4 linked regions of the Arabidopsis thaliana genome follow. The protein of the gene in region 3 interacts with the protein of the main gene of each other region in a pairwise test. Each region holds a gene or a part of one and is shown on either strand. Other genes may lie near its edges.

The links.
Region 1: the proteins of TCP5 (region 3) and SPL interact in a two-hybrid assay, tested with the Arabidopsis thaliana proteins (3 studies listed by BioGRID, with this or other methods).
Region 2: the proteins of TCP5 (region 3) and HEC3 interact in binary tests that used the Arabidopsis thaliana proteins (3 or more experiments, as listed by UniProt).
Region 4: the proteins of TCP5 (region 3) and EMB1135 interact in binary tests that used the Arabidopsis thaliana proteins (3 or more experiments, as listed by UniProt).

What each region holds. Positions count from the first base shown.
Region 1 is NC_003075.7:13,681,545-13,685,275, reverse strand, and holds SPL (sporocyteless (SPL)), read left to right. Parts: upstream 1-1,681; 5' UTR 1,682-1,816; coding exon 1,817-2,347; intron 2,348-2,446; coding exon 2,447-2,680; intron 2,681-2,769; coding exon 2,770-2,949; 3' UTR 2,950-3,198; downstream 3,199-3,731. UniProt on the Arabidopsis thaliana protein: Transcriptional regulator of sporocyte development. Acts as an adapter-like transcriptional repressor recruiting TPL/TPR corepressors to inhibit TCP transcription factors. Required for nucellus and embryo sac development.
Region 2 is NC_003076.8:3,025,563-3,028,963, reverse strand, and holds HEC3 (basic helix-loop-helix (bHLH) DNA-binding superfamily protein), read left to right. Parts: upstream 1-1,849; 5' UTR 1,850-1,888; coding exon 1,889-2,563; 3' UTR 2,564-2,855; downstream 2,856-3,401. UniProt on the Arabidopsis thaliana protein: Required for the female reproductive tract development and fertility.
Region 3 is NC_003076.8:24,534,792-24,539,137, reverse strand, and holds TCP5 (TEOSINTE BRANCHED 1, cycloidea and PCF transcription factor 5), read left to right. Parts: upstream 1-1,893; 5' UTR 1,894-2,200; intron 2,201-2,430; 5' UTR 2,431-2,485; coding exon 2,486-3,568; 3' UTR 3,569-3,801; downstream 3,802-4,346.
Region 4 is NC_003070.9:29,850,442-29,855,417, reverse strand, and holds the start of EMB1135 (RING/FYVE/PHD zinc finger superfamily protein), read left to right. Parts: upstream 1-1,951; 5' UTR 1,952-2,202; coding exon 2,203-2,811; intron 2,812-2,888; coding exon 2,889-3,062; intron 3,063-3,147; coding exon 3,148-3,278; intron 3,279-3,471; coding exon 3,472-3,548; intron 3,549-4,137; coding exon 4,138-4,319; intron 4,320-4,509; coding exon 4,510-4,587; intron 4,588-4,798; coding exon 4,799-4,931; intron 4,932-4,976. Other genes in the region: OCT2 (organic cation/carnitine transporter 2), read left to right, coding at 1-1,278. UniProt on the Arabidopsis thaliana protein: Required for normal embryo development. Necessary to acquire heat stress (HS) memory, by modulating nucleosome occupancy and regulating heat-induced gene expression.

The sequences.
Region 1 (3,731 bases), on a different chromosome or scaffold from region 3:
TAGCCATTTAAGATGTACAACATCTCATCTGGTTACTTCATTTATATAAAAAAAAAACGAAATCTCAACACATAGTAATGTATAATTACTTCAGTGGGGCTTCTCTTAAGACTTGTATTGAGAATATCCATATAAAACAAACTTTGTATTAAGATAATTAAAATTTTCTAATAGTAGGTATTGGGCTGAAGCCAAGATTAACATGGAGGCAGCTTTAAAATGTTTCCTTATATGATGCAGCCATCATTTCTACTCTACTCCGTAGCTCCAAACCCTTCTCGTAATTCACGTCTCTCATGCTATTCTTTTTGCTTTCGTCCTCCTCTCATGTGAAGCAATAACTATCTCTCGATTTTTTTTTTCAAATACCGAAAGCTAACTTTTTCAAATAAATGTCAAATATATTAATTTTCGTTTTGTATTTAGTATTTTATTTGTCAGCTAAGTATAGTGAGTTTTTAAGCTTACTCGTCGTATTTATCATATATTCATATACATATCACATTAGTCAAAGTAAATAAAAATTTGTTTTTGAAGAAAAAAAAAATACATATAACTGCGAGTCTGCGACTGTAACTGGACTTGCTTATTTTAGTTGATATGAGCTGAGTAAAATCACGTTGTCCCAGACCTTGCTCGCTACAATCGGCGAATGGTCTAACGTCCCGACACCTGTCCTCGATCCGCGGGTACTATATTCTTTGCAATGTGATGCACGCGCTGTTACTATTGGACAGTGTTTCTCACCTCACGACTGAGCCTATGCGAGTAGCGACAATCTCCGATTTGCTGTCTCCATGGTAGGGATTATCACAATCTCTGATTTTTTTTATCAGGAACAAGTAAATAAATAGCTTTGAGTTTTTGTTTTTTTTCTACATTCTTCGCCCAAAAGATGTAAGAAAATAAAGGATTTGAAACCTTGTTCTGTTGTTACTCCTTTAAATTCTTAAAAACTATAAATCATTATATCTTTGATCTGTTTCACAAACTAATCATATTCGTTGCAAAGTGAGAATTCGTCCCACTTTACTCTTTACACCGATACTAGTATTATAGATGTACAGCATAGTATTCCATATCTAGTTATTTAGTCAAAACTCTATATATTAAGAGGTAGGTTAATTAATTAAGGAGTAATTGAAGATTATAGAAAGAATAAAAAATACCATTTAATGGACAGAACCAAAGATAACTAACTATCATACTATAATGTTGAATTTCTTCCACGATCCAATGCATGGATAACAACATCAATCAAATCATACATTCATGCTATATAACATAGTTTTCAGTTACAAACTCTCTTTTTTATTTATTTCAGTTGTTCCTTTTCATGACCATATTAACATCAAATAATGCATTTTTTTCAACGTCTCTTGACTTACACCCACTAATATTGACAAATTGAACATCTATACGACTATACACACATAAGTTAAAAATGCATGCAAGTGCTAAGGGAATTTATAACATCTAAGGTTAATAAGACTAAGAAAGTATAAAATAAGAATACGTATTATGAATTTATGATATACTTTACTAATCTTTTTGAAAAATACTTTAATTTAATCTACTATAGGGGGTAAAAAGTAAAAAAGAAATAAAGATACGTTTATCCGCATATAGTACCTGGAAATAACAGAAAATAAAAACACAGGTAAGTACTTTGCCTGAGCTAGTATATGAACACTAAAGAGATACACACACACAAAAAGAGAGCAGAAACAAAACACACACACTTAAAGCTTTCGTCTTTACCTCTTCCCTTCTCTCTCTCTATCTAAAAAGAGTTCCGAGAAGAAGATCATCATCAATGGCGACTTCTCTCTTCTTCATGTCAACAGATCAAAACTCCGTCGGAAACCCAAACGATCTTCTGAGAAACACCCGTCTTGTCGTCAACAGCTCCGGCGAGATCCGGACAGAGACACTGAAGAGTCGTGGTCGGAAACCAGGATCGAAGACAGGTCAGCAAAAACAGAAGAAACCAACGTTGAGAGGAATGGGTGTAGCAAAGCTCGAGCGTCAGAGAATCGAAGAAGAAAAGAAGCAACTCGCCGCCGCCACAGTCGGAGACACGTCATCAGTAGCATCGATCTCTAACAACGCTACCCGTTTACCCGTACCGGTAGACCCGGGTGTTGTGCTACAAGGCTTCCCAAGCTCACTCGGGAGCAACAGGATCTATTGTGGTGGAGTCGGGTCGGGTCAGGTTATGATCGACCCGGTTATTTCTCCATGGGGTTTTGTTGAGACCTCCTCCACTACTCATGAGCTCTCTTCAATCTCAAATCCTCAAATGTTTAACGCTTCTTCCAATAATCGCTGTGACACTTGCTTCAAGGTTTGTTTGTTTTTTAATCGTTTTCATCAACATGATTGATATATATATAGTTTTTGCACTTGAAAAAGTTTTGATTTTTATTTATGTAAAAAACTGCAGAAGAAACGTTTGGATGGTGATCAGAATAATGTAGTTCGATCCAACGGTGGTGGATTTTCGAAATACACAATGATTCCTCCTCCGATGAACGGCTACGATCAGTATCTTCTTCAATCAGATCATCATCAGAGGAGCCAAGGTTTCCTTTATGATCATAGAATCGCTAGAGCAGCTTCAGTTTCTGCTTCTAGTACTACTATTAATCCTTATTTCAACGAGGCAACAAATCATACGGTACTAAGTATAGTCCATTTATTAATACTCATATATAGGTATATATGTATATAACTGTTGATCTTATTTGATTTAACTGGTGGGTTTAGGGACCAATGGAGGAATTTGGGAGCTACATGGAAGGAAACCCTAGAAATGGATCAGGAGGTGTGAAGGAGTACGAGTTTTTTCCGGGGAAATATGGTGAAAGAGTTTCAGTGGTGGCTAAAACGTCGTCACTCGTAGGTGATTGCAGTCCTAATACCATTGATTTGTCCTTGAAGCTTTAAATGTTTTATCTTTCTATATTGATTTAAACAAAATCGTCTCTTTAAAGAAAAAACATTTTAAGTAGATGAAAGTAAGAAACAGAAGAAAAAAAAGAGAGAGCCTTTTTTGGTGTATGCATCTGAGAGCTGAGTCGAAAGAAAGATTCAGCTTTTGGATTACCCTTTTGGTTGTTTATTATGAGATTCTAACCTAAACACTCAGACATATATGTTCTGTTCTCTTCCTTAATTGTTGTCATGAAACTTCTCTCTCCCTCTCTCTCTCTAAAGTTGTGTCAGATCTTGGGGCTTGTATCCATTTTGTGTTTCTTTAGTTAGGCAATGATCCTGTCATGATTCATGTTATCACCTAATTAATCCTCGGTTTTCGAAACGGTGTCATGCATATCTGATTAATCTTGTTATCTGGTGTGAGATAAATGTATCAAATTGCTCTTGTTTATAGCTTTTCCAATTAATGTCATTGCATAGCATATGGGATGTACAGCTTCGTTTTCGATTTATAAAATTTATACATGTGTTTGGTACGTACTGTTTTGTTTTGGATCAGAATTATAAATTTAGTACAGTATAAACTACTTTAAAAATTGGCCAATGAGAATTTTGAGTTTATCTTCTTTTTATAAGTTGATTGATTTTGCTTTGTTTATTTATAGAAAATATGAAATTTTATCAATTATTTTTGGGATGCTTTTTTATTGATTTTAGTTCGGCTAAAATTAGTTAGATGTTTAAATTTATTAAAACAGATATGCAAAAATTAACTCGATGGTTTTTTTTTT
Region 2 (3,401 bases), about 22 Mb from region 3:
GTAAATTAAATTTATGTGTCTTATATATTCTATTATTTTACATGTTTTTGTGGAAATTTAGAAACTAGCTGTCCAAAATGAATCATTTAACTTTCACATGTATGAAAAATATTAATAGACTTAATTAAAAAACACTCTAAATTTATGATCAGGCAATAAAAAAATTGTTCATTGCTCCAATCCATCCGAATTTGTATTATATAAAATACATGGCAAAATAAAACTTCTTTTAACTAAACTATATTATATTATAAGTCTTGCTCATGACTGTTATATACTTTAATAATATGATCGAATGCTAGCTATTATATTAAATACACAGTTACTCTTTTAATTGCGGTTTTCATTTTAAACCGCTATAAATGCGAAAACTATATAGTGTATACTTATATCGAATCAAATTAATTTCCAAAACTTGTGTGTGTATAAGTAGATGTTCATACATGTAGTTGGCAGTTGGGTGGATTTAATAAGAATATAATATACAGTGAACAATGGATTAATACCAAAGAAGTAACCCTATAATGCATGATTGCAGCCTGCATGCGCAATTTGTATGATTATAATGCAGACCAAATCATAACATATGTGCAAAATATACGCTTATATCTCATATATGTACATATACATGTGTATTTATACATTGCTTTTGTGTTGAGGCATATGACATAAGAAACTTGTCACATTAAATCAGAACCGTCTGATTTTTGTATAAACGGATCGAAACAACGTATATAAATTTGCCTCTTTTGAAGTCTCATAAAATTTCGTGTATTTTACGGATTTGTGTTTGTTTTATACACTTGTATACAAGAACGTTGTTACGTAGATGTGAACTTTGTTAATAAAAAGCAGAAATTGCTTCATGGAAAATGATATATTCACCACCGTCTTATATAAACGAGTCACGACGATGATACACGTCTTTCTTATTAATGACAATCATGGATAACACCCAAATGTTGAAGAAGCTAAGGTGTCCCCATGCGAGTGATTTGATGTTTGTTATCCTTATAAACCTTTAATCACGTCGCAAGTTATAGAATAGCTTTGTGGAAAAAAGCAAGTTGATCATTTGTTTTATAATAATATATAACATTGCGAGTTTCACACACAATTTACATTCAATATTGGACTCCATCGAGGGGAGAGAGAAAATCACGACCGTTGATCGGGATAAGAGTATAGGATCAACAAAATGTGCTATTTCGTGAAGAGACAAGAGAATGAGAGAAAATTTATCAAGATTTCCTATTTTAGTGAATGGGTTTTGTGAAGAGAGAAGGAGATAATTAAAGGGATTGTAAATTGAGAAGTCAGAATAAGAGCACACAAGTGGTGACATCTTTTGTGAATCAAAGAGAAACTCATGTTCATATAAAGTAATTCACATTCTTATAGCTAGTGGTTATTAGTTTATTACTTTGGTGAAAGCCACTTTCTCGATATACCCTAAATTCAAGTCTCAATGTGGGAGAGGGAAACCCTAGCCAACTCAAAACTATCTCATTAGTCAACTGGAGCTGCTCATTAAAAAAAAAAAAAAAAAAGCGATTATGCCAACTATATGTATACAAAAGTGCTACAACGTTTATAAACATTTTCGGAGCATAAAAAAACTTCTTATTCAACTATATACAATTTAATCTTTTTCTTTGGTAACGACTAGTGACGTCCACTTATTGAAAAGATACATATAAATAAAATTATTCTTTATTTTTTCTCCGAACCAAAATCCTTAATTGCATCACCAACCTAACCCCTCATCATATGATCACCTTTCTTTTTTTCCTTTAATATATATATATGCTCACACACACACATATATATATACATATAAGCATCGCCTCAAGCATTAAAATTTTTACGAACCAAACAAACAAAAATTATGAATAATTATAATATGAACCCATCTCTCTTCCAAAATTACACTTGGAACAACATCATCAACAGCAGCAACAACAACAACAAGAATGATGATCATCATCATCAACATAATAATGATCCAATCGGTATGGCCATGGACCAGTACACACAGCTCCATATCTTCAATCCTTTCTCTTCTTCTCATTTCCCTCCTCTCTCTTCTTCCCTCACAACCACCACTCTTCTCTCCGGAGATCAAGAAGACGACGAAGACGAAGAAGAACCTCTAGAGGAACTCGGTGCTATGAAGGAAATGATGTACAAGATCGCAGCCATGCAATCGGTTGACATCGACCCAGCAACCGTCAAGAAACCCAAACGCCGTAACGTGAGGATCTCCGACGACCCTCAGAGTGTGGCGGCTAGACATCGCCGTGAGAGAATCAGTGAGAGGATCAGAATTCTTCAGAGACTCGTGCCAGGTGGCACTAAAATGGATACGGCTTCAATGCTCGATGAAGCTATACGCTATGTCAAGTTCTTGAAACGGCAGATCCGGCTACTCAATAATAATACCGGATATACTCCTCCGCCGCCGCAAGATCAAGCTTCTCAGGCGGTGACGACGTCATGGGTTTCACCGCCACCACCGCCAAGTTTCGGCCGTGGGGGAAGAGGAGTAGGAGAATTAATCTAGACAAGATGACATTTCCATTAGTAGTAACTAAATTATGCTATAATGTGTGAGTAATGGTGCAATTATGGAAAGTGTTTATATATAATAAAAATGGATACGAAATAAGGGTTTGTTAGGATATATAATATATTGTTGTTGACCGTGAAAAGGTTGTGGAATAATCATAACGGTTAGCTTGAGTTGTGTACCACCATATATTTAATATTATGTTATCATTTCGTATATAATAATAAGTTCTTGATTTGGAGTTTGGTTGTATACAAGTTTTGGCCGGGCATTTTTCGGGCATAAGAACCATGACGCCATCAAAGAACCCTATTTAAATAGTGTTATCATTACTGTGGACTTTTGTCTTTGTATACACACAACGCATATATTTGTGAAGTACTATATTTTAGAGCATATAATATGAATGTACTCTATTGCTTCATTTTCATCTTTTTACGTACATACCTCACTTTGAACGTTAATACCTATACATATTGAAAATCGTTTTGTTATGATTAGAATAAGCTTTAAGAATTCCTAAATTACAATAAGCTTTAGGGCTTTTTTTTTAATATATAGCTTCACAACTAGCAACGAAAAATCCAAAAAGAAAAAAGTTGTTATGAAAATAATATCCGTACGTTTAGTCTATTAGATTATACTTGTTAGTATCCGATTAAACATCACCTGAAAACTAAAAAGTCTAACAGACTAAACGTATCCGATTATACTTGTTGTAAAAATGTTAACGAAAAATGTTTAGCTATAGTAACGTTTAGCATAATGAAAATTACGACAATCATCCCATAAAATGATGTTTTGTAATATAAAGTAATCTCAAATTACAACA
Region 3 (4,346 bases):
AATTATGTGTATATATATAAAAGGCAGGAACAATTTAATTGTATTCACATAATTCGTTGCCAAATCCTGTCATACATTCCCAAAATTCCCTAAAATATGATCTTGTTAATAGTTTCTAGCTTATTCCTTAAGCTTGAATTTACGTTAAATCAATTTTGAAAGAAATTAAGGTTTTGGCTTTGACAGACGTTACCAACCAAGCAATGACTAAAGGCGGCTTTGGTAGTGGGCTGCTTTAGACGACGGGTAGGTTTGGCAAGCTTCTTTGTTGGGACAAAAAAATTGTTGTGATAAATTTCACCACAAGTTTTATGAACATACATCATAATTAATATTGTTGCAGCATATATTAGTTAGACCAATATACCACTGACACCATCTATATAAAAGTTAGTACATGTCTATCACAGTACCAAAAAAATGAAATGTACAAGTCTATCTCGCTCTAAGAATAATTTGTGTTTAAAATATACCACCATATCCGGAAAGATCCTTGGAAATGCCTTTAATGAAGGCTTCCAATCGCCTTCTTAAAATAATCTGTGACATTGTGTTGTGATCATCTTAAAATGCCTTAAAATTGTGTTGGATAATCTACGGAACCGATGTGGAAAAAGAAATCCATGGAACCTTTGATTTGAGATGAACAGTTACCACAATTTATATGATCATTAAAATTATACGATATATAAGTGGTTCATATTTATTTAATATTTTCCCCATATTTAAGTGAGGACCAAAAAACTGATACAAAACTTTTTCTTGCAAAATTACAAATGTAACTTTGTTACAGTCAATTTCATCTCAAGATTACATAATCAAAACCAGAGTTCTTAATTTGAAACCGTACAGTACTATATATGCAGTAACTCAATATTCTTCGTAAACAACCAGTGTGGGTTAAAGGCGCGGTCAATTACAGAAGACTTTATATATAGTAGTGATCAAGTTGGATACAAAGAGGAAAGAAAATGGTTTGTGATTGTGGGCAAAAATCTCAGTGGCAAAGACACTTAGAAGAGAAGTGGACCACAAATCTCTTTGTGAGTATTTAGGCATTAGATGCTTTAAAGAAAAACCTATACTCGTTGGTCCATTCTCTATCTCAGAGACAGACCCTTACCTCCTCTAGCTGTCAATCTCTATTATATTTACTTATATATGTTGATATTAAAACAAAAAATTTATATATATGGATATTTTCTATATATGCTTAAAAATATAACCCACAAGTAGTTAATTAGAAATAAAAGCAGTATTCCCAACAGTTTGATTTTAACAAGTCTACATTTCATTATCACTAAATTTAGGGTTTCAACAAGTTGCTTCGTTAATAATGAAATTCAACAATTTATCTACAAATAAAACTTTTCATTTTCCAAAACGACAGAAACTCAAATGAAATGAGCGACGACTGTAAATAAATTGGTCTTTCCATTTGTTTATATTATGAATTTTTTTGAATTTACTAAAATTTGGTTTCATAAAACTTTCAAACTCGATCTTGTATATATATATGTTTCACAGTTCAAAGTTCAAACCACTTTTACCATTATTAATTTACTATACATGTACTATATTTTTTTTTCACTTTAAAAGCTCTTGTTACCATTTATAACTATTAATTTGTCAACCGTACACTTTCTCTTAAATGACCTTAACCGTATGTTTATATTTTTGTTTAAGATAAGAAGACAACATAGATCACAAACTTGGGTAAAAATTAAATCATATAAAATTCAAAATGAATGTCTAACACCAAGGAAAGGGAACCAAAACTTGAATACTAAAATATATTAAAATTTATTGTAAAGGTTTTTTTTTTGTCAACTATTGTAAAGTTTTATATATATAAGATTTATGTGACTGTGAGTGTAACGAAACATGCACATTCCCATCACAGTATCAATACACTACATAAATTGCTCCTCTTTTGTCCTTCTGCATAAATTCCTTTCATACCGAAAAAAAAAAGCCCTAGGGATCGGAATATAATACTTAAAAATATATCTAATTCATTTATTATTTAACTTCCCCAATCATTATAATATACATATGTAATTCTAGTTTCCAAAAAAAGAAATACTACACATTCCTCTGCCTCCTTATCTCTTTCTTATTCTTCTTCTTCCTCCTTCTTCTACTTCTCTATCAAGCTGGATCTTGAAATAGGACTCAAGCTTACCAGTATTCAATCAACGTAAGAACATATAACCTTCAACATGTTTGAATTTCAAATTCTTATGAGCTTTCTTTTCTTTGATGCAAACTCAAGAAAGAGATATTATTGCTTTGTTTTCATGTGAATCTCGCTCCAAAAACATATTTAAAATCAACAATTTCATTCAATTGAAAGCTAACAACAACTAATTCTTGTCTTCTTGATTTATTTTCTATTAAATTGGTCAATTTATTCCCTTCTTGTTTCAGATCTGTTCTTTACACCAAATTGAGTACTGAAGATCTTGTTGAGTGAATTAAAGAGATGAGATCAGGAGAATGTGATGAAGAGGAGATTCAAGCAAAGCAAGAAAGAGATCAAAATCAAAATCATCAAGTAAACTTAAACCACATGTTGCAACAACAACAGCCGAGTTCGGTATCATCTTCAAGGCAATGGACTTCAGCTTTTAGGAATCCAAGAATCGTTCGAGTCTCAAGAACATTCGGTGGCAAAGACAGACACAGCAAAGTATGTACAGTCCGTGGTCTTCGAGACCGGAGGATAAGGTTGTCCGTACCTACAGCTATTCAACTCTACGACCTTCAAGATCGATTAGGGCTGAGTCAGCCAAGCAAAGTCATTGATTGGTTACTCGAAGCAGCAAAAGATGACGTAGACAAGCTACCTCCTCTACAATTCCCACATGGATTTAACCAGATGTATCCAAATCTCATCTTCGGAAACTCCGGGTTTGGAGAATCTCCATCTTCAACTACATCAACAACGTTTCCAGGAACCAATCTCGGGTTCTTGGAAAATTGGGATCTTGGTGGTTCTTCAAGAACAAGAGCAAGATTAACCGATACAACTACGACCCAAAGAGAAAGTTTTGATCTTGATAAAGGAAAATGGATCAAAAACGACGAGAATAGTAATCAAGATCATCAAGGGTTTAACACCAATCATCAACAACAATTTCCTCTGACCAATCCGTACAACAACACTTCAGCTTATTACAACCTTGGACATCTTCAACAATCGTTAGACCAATCTGGTAATAACGTTACTGTCGCAATATCTAATGTTGCTGCTAATAATAACAATAATCTCAATTTGCATCCTCCTTCCTCGTCTGCCGGAGATGGATCTCAGCTTTTTTTCGGTCCTACTCCTCCGGCAATGAGCTCTCTATTCCCGACATACCCTTCGTTTCTTGGAGCTTCTCATCATCATCATGTCGTCGATGGAGCCGGTCATCTTCAGCTCTTTAGCTCGAATTCAAATACCGCATCGCAGCAACACATGATGCCGGGTAATACGAGTTTGATTAGACCATTTCATCATTTGATGAGCTCGAATCATGATACGGATCATCATAGTAGCGATAATGAATCAGATTCTTGAATGATTTTATATATCTACACTATACATTGAAAATGTTATATGTATACGTATTCTTCTATATTTTGATATATATGCGTATTGTTGGATTGGTTTATGTATCTTCTTCGTGTATGTATACACTTTTTAATAGTCTCGGATTTAGATTCGAACAAAGACATTCATAATGCGAGGATGGTTGTTATTTCTATATATGTTTTAGTTTTGAAGGTAGTTTTTGCTTCCTTAAGAAATTATATGAATTCTACTTGAATGTCTTTCTCTATTCATTTATGAATATATACACTCGAATAAATGAATTGTACAATATAGGTATCTCATAACTAGCTAGCACTTTCATCCTAATCCATAATCTAGATTAGTTAATCATATTTCATATGTTAGGATTTAGGTTTTACATATATGGAATTTTTTATTGTTATCACGAATGTGAGAAAGTGAATAAAAACGCAAAGAACAATAATACTTTTCAAAATAGGATGGAGGAAAAACAGATTCAGAAAAAGAAAAAGAAAAAAAGAGTATTAACATAACCCTAATTCAACTTTAAACCAAATAGGTCCATCGAAACCCATATGCTATTCTACCATCGTATGACCAGATTCAAAGCATTTCACCAATCACCATTATATATATATATATAGGCATCACAATGTTGCTAAGAAAAAACATTATGTAATTTTTTTAATCAAAATATGATATGATCTATCTTAATCATCATTATGCAATGATTACATAGTCAGGACTTGAATTGGATATAATCGTATCTACAAATTAATTT
Region 4 (4,976 bases), on a different chromosome or scaffold from region 3:
TGGGGTCTCCAATGCGCCGGCTCTTTCGTCAAGGGCTTACCGGAGAGTTCTTTCTTCGTCGGATGTTTAATCGGAGGTTTGGTTCTCTCAACACTTGCTGATTCTTCCTTGGGTCGTAAAAACATGTTGTTTCTGTCCTGTCTCGTTATGGCGATATCAACGATGCTAACGGTTTTCTCACCAAACATTTGGGTTTACGCTGTTCTTCGATTCGTTAATGGATTTGGTCGAGCGACGATAGGGACATGTGCGCTCGTTCTTTCGACGGAATTAGTTGGGAAGAAATGGCGAGGACGAGTAGGGATAATGAGTTTCTTCGGATTCATGCTTGGCTTTTTGTCTCTTCCTTTGATGGCTTACATGAACAGAGGAAGTTCTTGGAGGATTCTCTACGCATGGACTTCGATTCCAACGATAATATACTGCGTTCTTGTTCGGTTTTTCGTTTGTGAGTCTCCAAGGTGGCTTTTCGTTAGAGGCCGTAGAGAAGAAGCTATTTCGATTCTCAAAAGGGTTGCTTCGATTCCGTCTACTGATGTAAGCAGTGGTGGTGCAATATCTATGAGTTTTTCGAGCTTACCTTTTGAAGAAGATGAAGAGAAGCCTAGTACTAATGTTAACATCTTCACGACCATGAAGGTGTTGGTAGAGAAAAGATGGGCGCTTAAGAGATTATCCGCGGTAATGGCCATTGCGTTCGGGATTGGTTTGGTCTATTACGGGATGCCTTTAGCGTTATCGAATCTTGATTTCAACATCTATTTAAGTGCAGCGTTTAATGCGTTGATGGATTTACCAGCGAACCTCATCACGCTTTTCCTAGTCGATAAACTCAGTAGGAGAAACGCGCTTATCGGATTTACGGCTTTAGGTGGAGTCTCTAGCGTTCTCATATTTGCGTTACATAATATGAGAATTGGAAACCACGGGGCGTTACAGTTGGCGTTAGAGCTAATCTCTTACTTTAGCGCGTGTTCGGCTTTTAACATGGAGATGATATACACGATCGAGCTGTTTCCGACATGTGTGAGAAACTCGGCTATCGCAATGGCTAGACAGGCTTTGGTGCTTGGTGGAGTTTTCAGCCCTATTATGGTAGCAGCTGGTCGGAAAAACGCGTTCTGGTCGTTCGGATTGTTTGGTCTTGCTATAGGTTTGTTGGGATTGTTTGCAGTTGGATTGCCAGAGACTAGAGGGAGTGATCTATGTGACACTATGGACGAGGAAGAGTGCAAAGACCGGCGGAGTAAAGTCGCCGTTAATAATGTCATTGCATGAAATGGTGAAGAATTTGAAAACACATGTGAAATTAATGTAGATTTAATTTAGTATTTATCACTTGATTACATTAAGACTTACCACATATCTTTTTTTTTGGTTAGTTGAAAAGTGTTTCTAAGAATGAGCCATCAAAGCACCACTCTGATGAAACAATCTCATTTTACAGTTTACACCTATAACACATGGATTTCTTGAATAACAAAATAATTCAAATTTGTCTCGTTTGGATATTGATGCCGATGGTTAAACGTTTGGCTGTTTGATTTTTGTTAGAGATAATTGTGTTTCTGTTCTAATTTTCACACGTTGTGTGAAAATGAATCGTTCCAATCCCAAGAAAGTATATTCATTGGGGTTGTTGGTAGTTGGCTGTTTGGTAATTGAATGGGAAGAACAAACCAGACAGAAATTTGTACACTTCTTGGTAGATATGTTTAAAAGGTTTAATTTACAAATAGGCCCATCTATCAGCCCTTTTGTAACCCTTTTAGGCCCAACTAAGTGGTCTCAAAGTTCACAAACCCAAAACTTATGTGGATTTATTATTTTAAGCCCACACAAACTAACGAACGGTGAGCTGGCAAGTCACGTGATGACACGTGATCCATCAACCCATCACTTACCATTACCCCAACCGGTACGGAAGTGGTTTTGTATCTTCCTACTTCGACTCCTCTTGGGTAATTATAATTAGTTTTAGATGAACCAAACAATCCCAAAATAATATTAGAAAAAGGGAAGAAAATCTGAAACCAAAAAAAACGAGAAGGGAGTCGAAGAAGAACCTTTCGCGCTCTGACGAAATTCATTACTTACACTGGATTTATACTTTTTTTGTCTTCCTCTCTCAATTATCTCCTTCAACGCCACAAGATCCTAAGGCCTCTCACGGATCTCTCTTAAGATCAATCGCCGCGGCTCATGACGCAGTCGCCTGTTCAACCGCCTCCGCCGCTCCCAGCTCAGCCGCATTCCGCCGCCGGAGGTGTAATAAGAGGCGATGTACAGGTTAGGTGCGCAGGCTGTCGCGTGATTCTGAGGGTGAAAACCGGCGTTGTGGAGTTCTCGTGTCCGACTTGTCAACTTCCCCAAATGTTGCCGCCGGAGCTTCTTTCTAGGGCACGGCCGCAGTTTCCGCAGTCTCCACAACAACCACCACAGCCAATTCAGACGCTTCCGCCACCGATTCAACAGCAGCTTAAGCCTCTTAATCTACCTAGGCCTCCGGTTCCGGCACATGGAATCGATCCGACGAAGATGCAATTGCCTTGCGCTAACTGTCAGGCTATCCTCAATGTGCCTCATGGACTCACTCGGTTCTCGTGTCCTCAGTGCCATGTCGAGCTCGCTGTTGATGTCTCCAAGCTTAATCGGTCTTTAACTGCTTCTCAATCTCATTCTAATCCTCCTACTCCTGCTGCTCCCACAGTCCCGCCTCCGCCTCCTCCCGAAGAAGTCAATGAGGAAGCTATTGAAGTGGAGAGAGAAGAAGATGAAGGTGGAACGGCTGGAGAAACGTTTATGGATTATGTGAGTGCCTCATCTTGAGATCATCTTTTTCTGTCTGTTCAATGTTTTTGATGATACTAATTTGTTTCTTTGTGAAGCGTCCCCCAAAACTTTCGATCGGACCTCCTCATCCTGATCCAATTGTGGAAACATCATCTCTATCTGCAGTGCAACCCCCAGAGCCTACTTATGATCTCAAAATCAAGGAAGAGCTTGAAAGGTCAAAGGCTTTATCGTGTTTGCAGATTGAGACATTAGTTTACGCTTGCCAGGTTGCTTTTAAATGGCAAAAAGTTTGGTTAATGGCATTTAAACGTATCTTCTACCTGTATGACAATGGTTTTTTTTTTATTACAGAGGCATCTCCAGCACCTTGCTGATGGTACCAGAGCAGGCTTTTTTGTTGGAGATGGTGCTGGTGTGGGCAAAGGGCGAACAATTGCCGGGTTGATTTGGGAAAATTGGAAACATGGAAGGAGGAAAGCTTTGTAAGTCTTGTAGAAAGATACTTCTGCGCCATTTACATCCTTGATAAGATATTGTTAGCTCAATTCAATCTGACTTATGATTATACTACATTTGCATAATTGTGTCTACGGTGTCCTTTTTTGGTTTCTTAGATAACTTAAAGTAGGATGAGTTCTAATACTATTTGCTCCTTTTCCTTTATGATTTACATAGGTGGATTTCTATTGGCTCAGACTTGAAATATGATGCAAGAAGGGACTTGGATGATGTGGGTGCTACATGCGTTGGAGGTATTATCTTGATTTTGGCTGTAAATTAAGTTTGTAATTCGCTTATTTTCTTGGGTCACAAATGCTTCATATGTTATACATAATTACATATAGCTTATGCTATAAATTATTTTCTGGCTCATTGTTGAATAGAAAATTTTGAAAGTGGATGGTATAGAGTAGACTGGATCAGAATGAGATTCTGACTTTGCTGAATGGATAAATTGACTCATGCTTTAATATTACGATGTAGAGTACACATGTATTTTTAGAGAACTTATTTTCTTTACTGATAAAGGTAATGGGTCCCTGAACTTTGTTTATGGTGTCTTCATGCCTAGAGAATGTTATGGGTAGCTGATGTTTGTGCAGTTCATGAAAATTTCAGGTAAATAAAAGTTGGACTGTAACTTTAGAATAGTCCAATAGGATATTTGATTCTTAGTCTCATTAATCCTTTATAGGTTTGAGCTTGGAATTTTAATAGAATATTAGGAGATGGAAAAATACGACAAATCAAGGGAACCATGTCGATGGATAAGTTCATTCAAGTGAACAAATGTCCAGTTTGTTTTTTCTGCAACTAAATAACAATATGTTTGACGTGCAGTGAATCCTTTGAACAAGCTACCCTATTCTAAGCTTGACTCGAAAAATGTTGGTATTAAAGAAGGAGTGGTATTCTTGACATACAATAGCCTCATTGCTTCCTCTGAGAAGGGCCGTTCTCGTTTACAGCAGCTTGTTCAATGGTGTGGACCAGAATTTGATGGTCTCTTGATCTTTGATGAGGTAACAGTTCTATGAATGAAGTATATTAAATTATTTGCGTTAAAATCATCATCCCCCTTTTTTTGTGAATTGAACAATTTGAGTATACCCTGTCGTTGTAAGTTGCTTGATCACTGGTTTTATCAATTTTGGGCCAACCTCTAATCTTTAGTACATTGTGCAGGTACTAATTTGTTTTCCTTTTTTATAGTGCCATAAAGCGAAAAATTTGGTACCTGAAGCTGGGAGTCAGCCGACACGCATCGGACAGGCAGTTGTTGACATTCAGGTCTGGCTACTTGAAACTGAATGTTCTTATCAGTGTTGCTTTTAATATTGCTCTTGGCTCTGAAGAGTGAGAGATTATATACTTCGACTTGTCTTTTTGGGTTGTACTTTTTCTCGGTTTCAGATAATATAGTGTATATTCTAGTTTAACATGCTTAATTTGTGGTTAGTGCCATCTAGTTGACTCTAACTAATGAATTCTGGAAAAGCAGGATAAGATCCCCCAAGCACGTGTTATTTATTGCTCGGCTACTGGGGCATCAGAACCACGAAACATGGGTTATATGGTCAGGCTTGGTCTTTGGGGAGCTGGAACAAGTTTTAGTGATTTTAACAAATTCCTAGGTTGGTTTTCTTTTCTACTCCTGTTGATTAATTGATTTTTTTTTT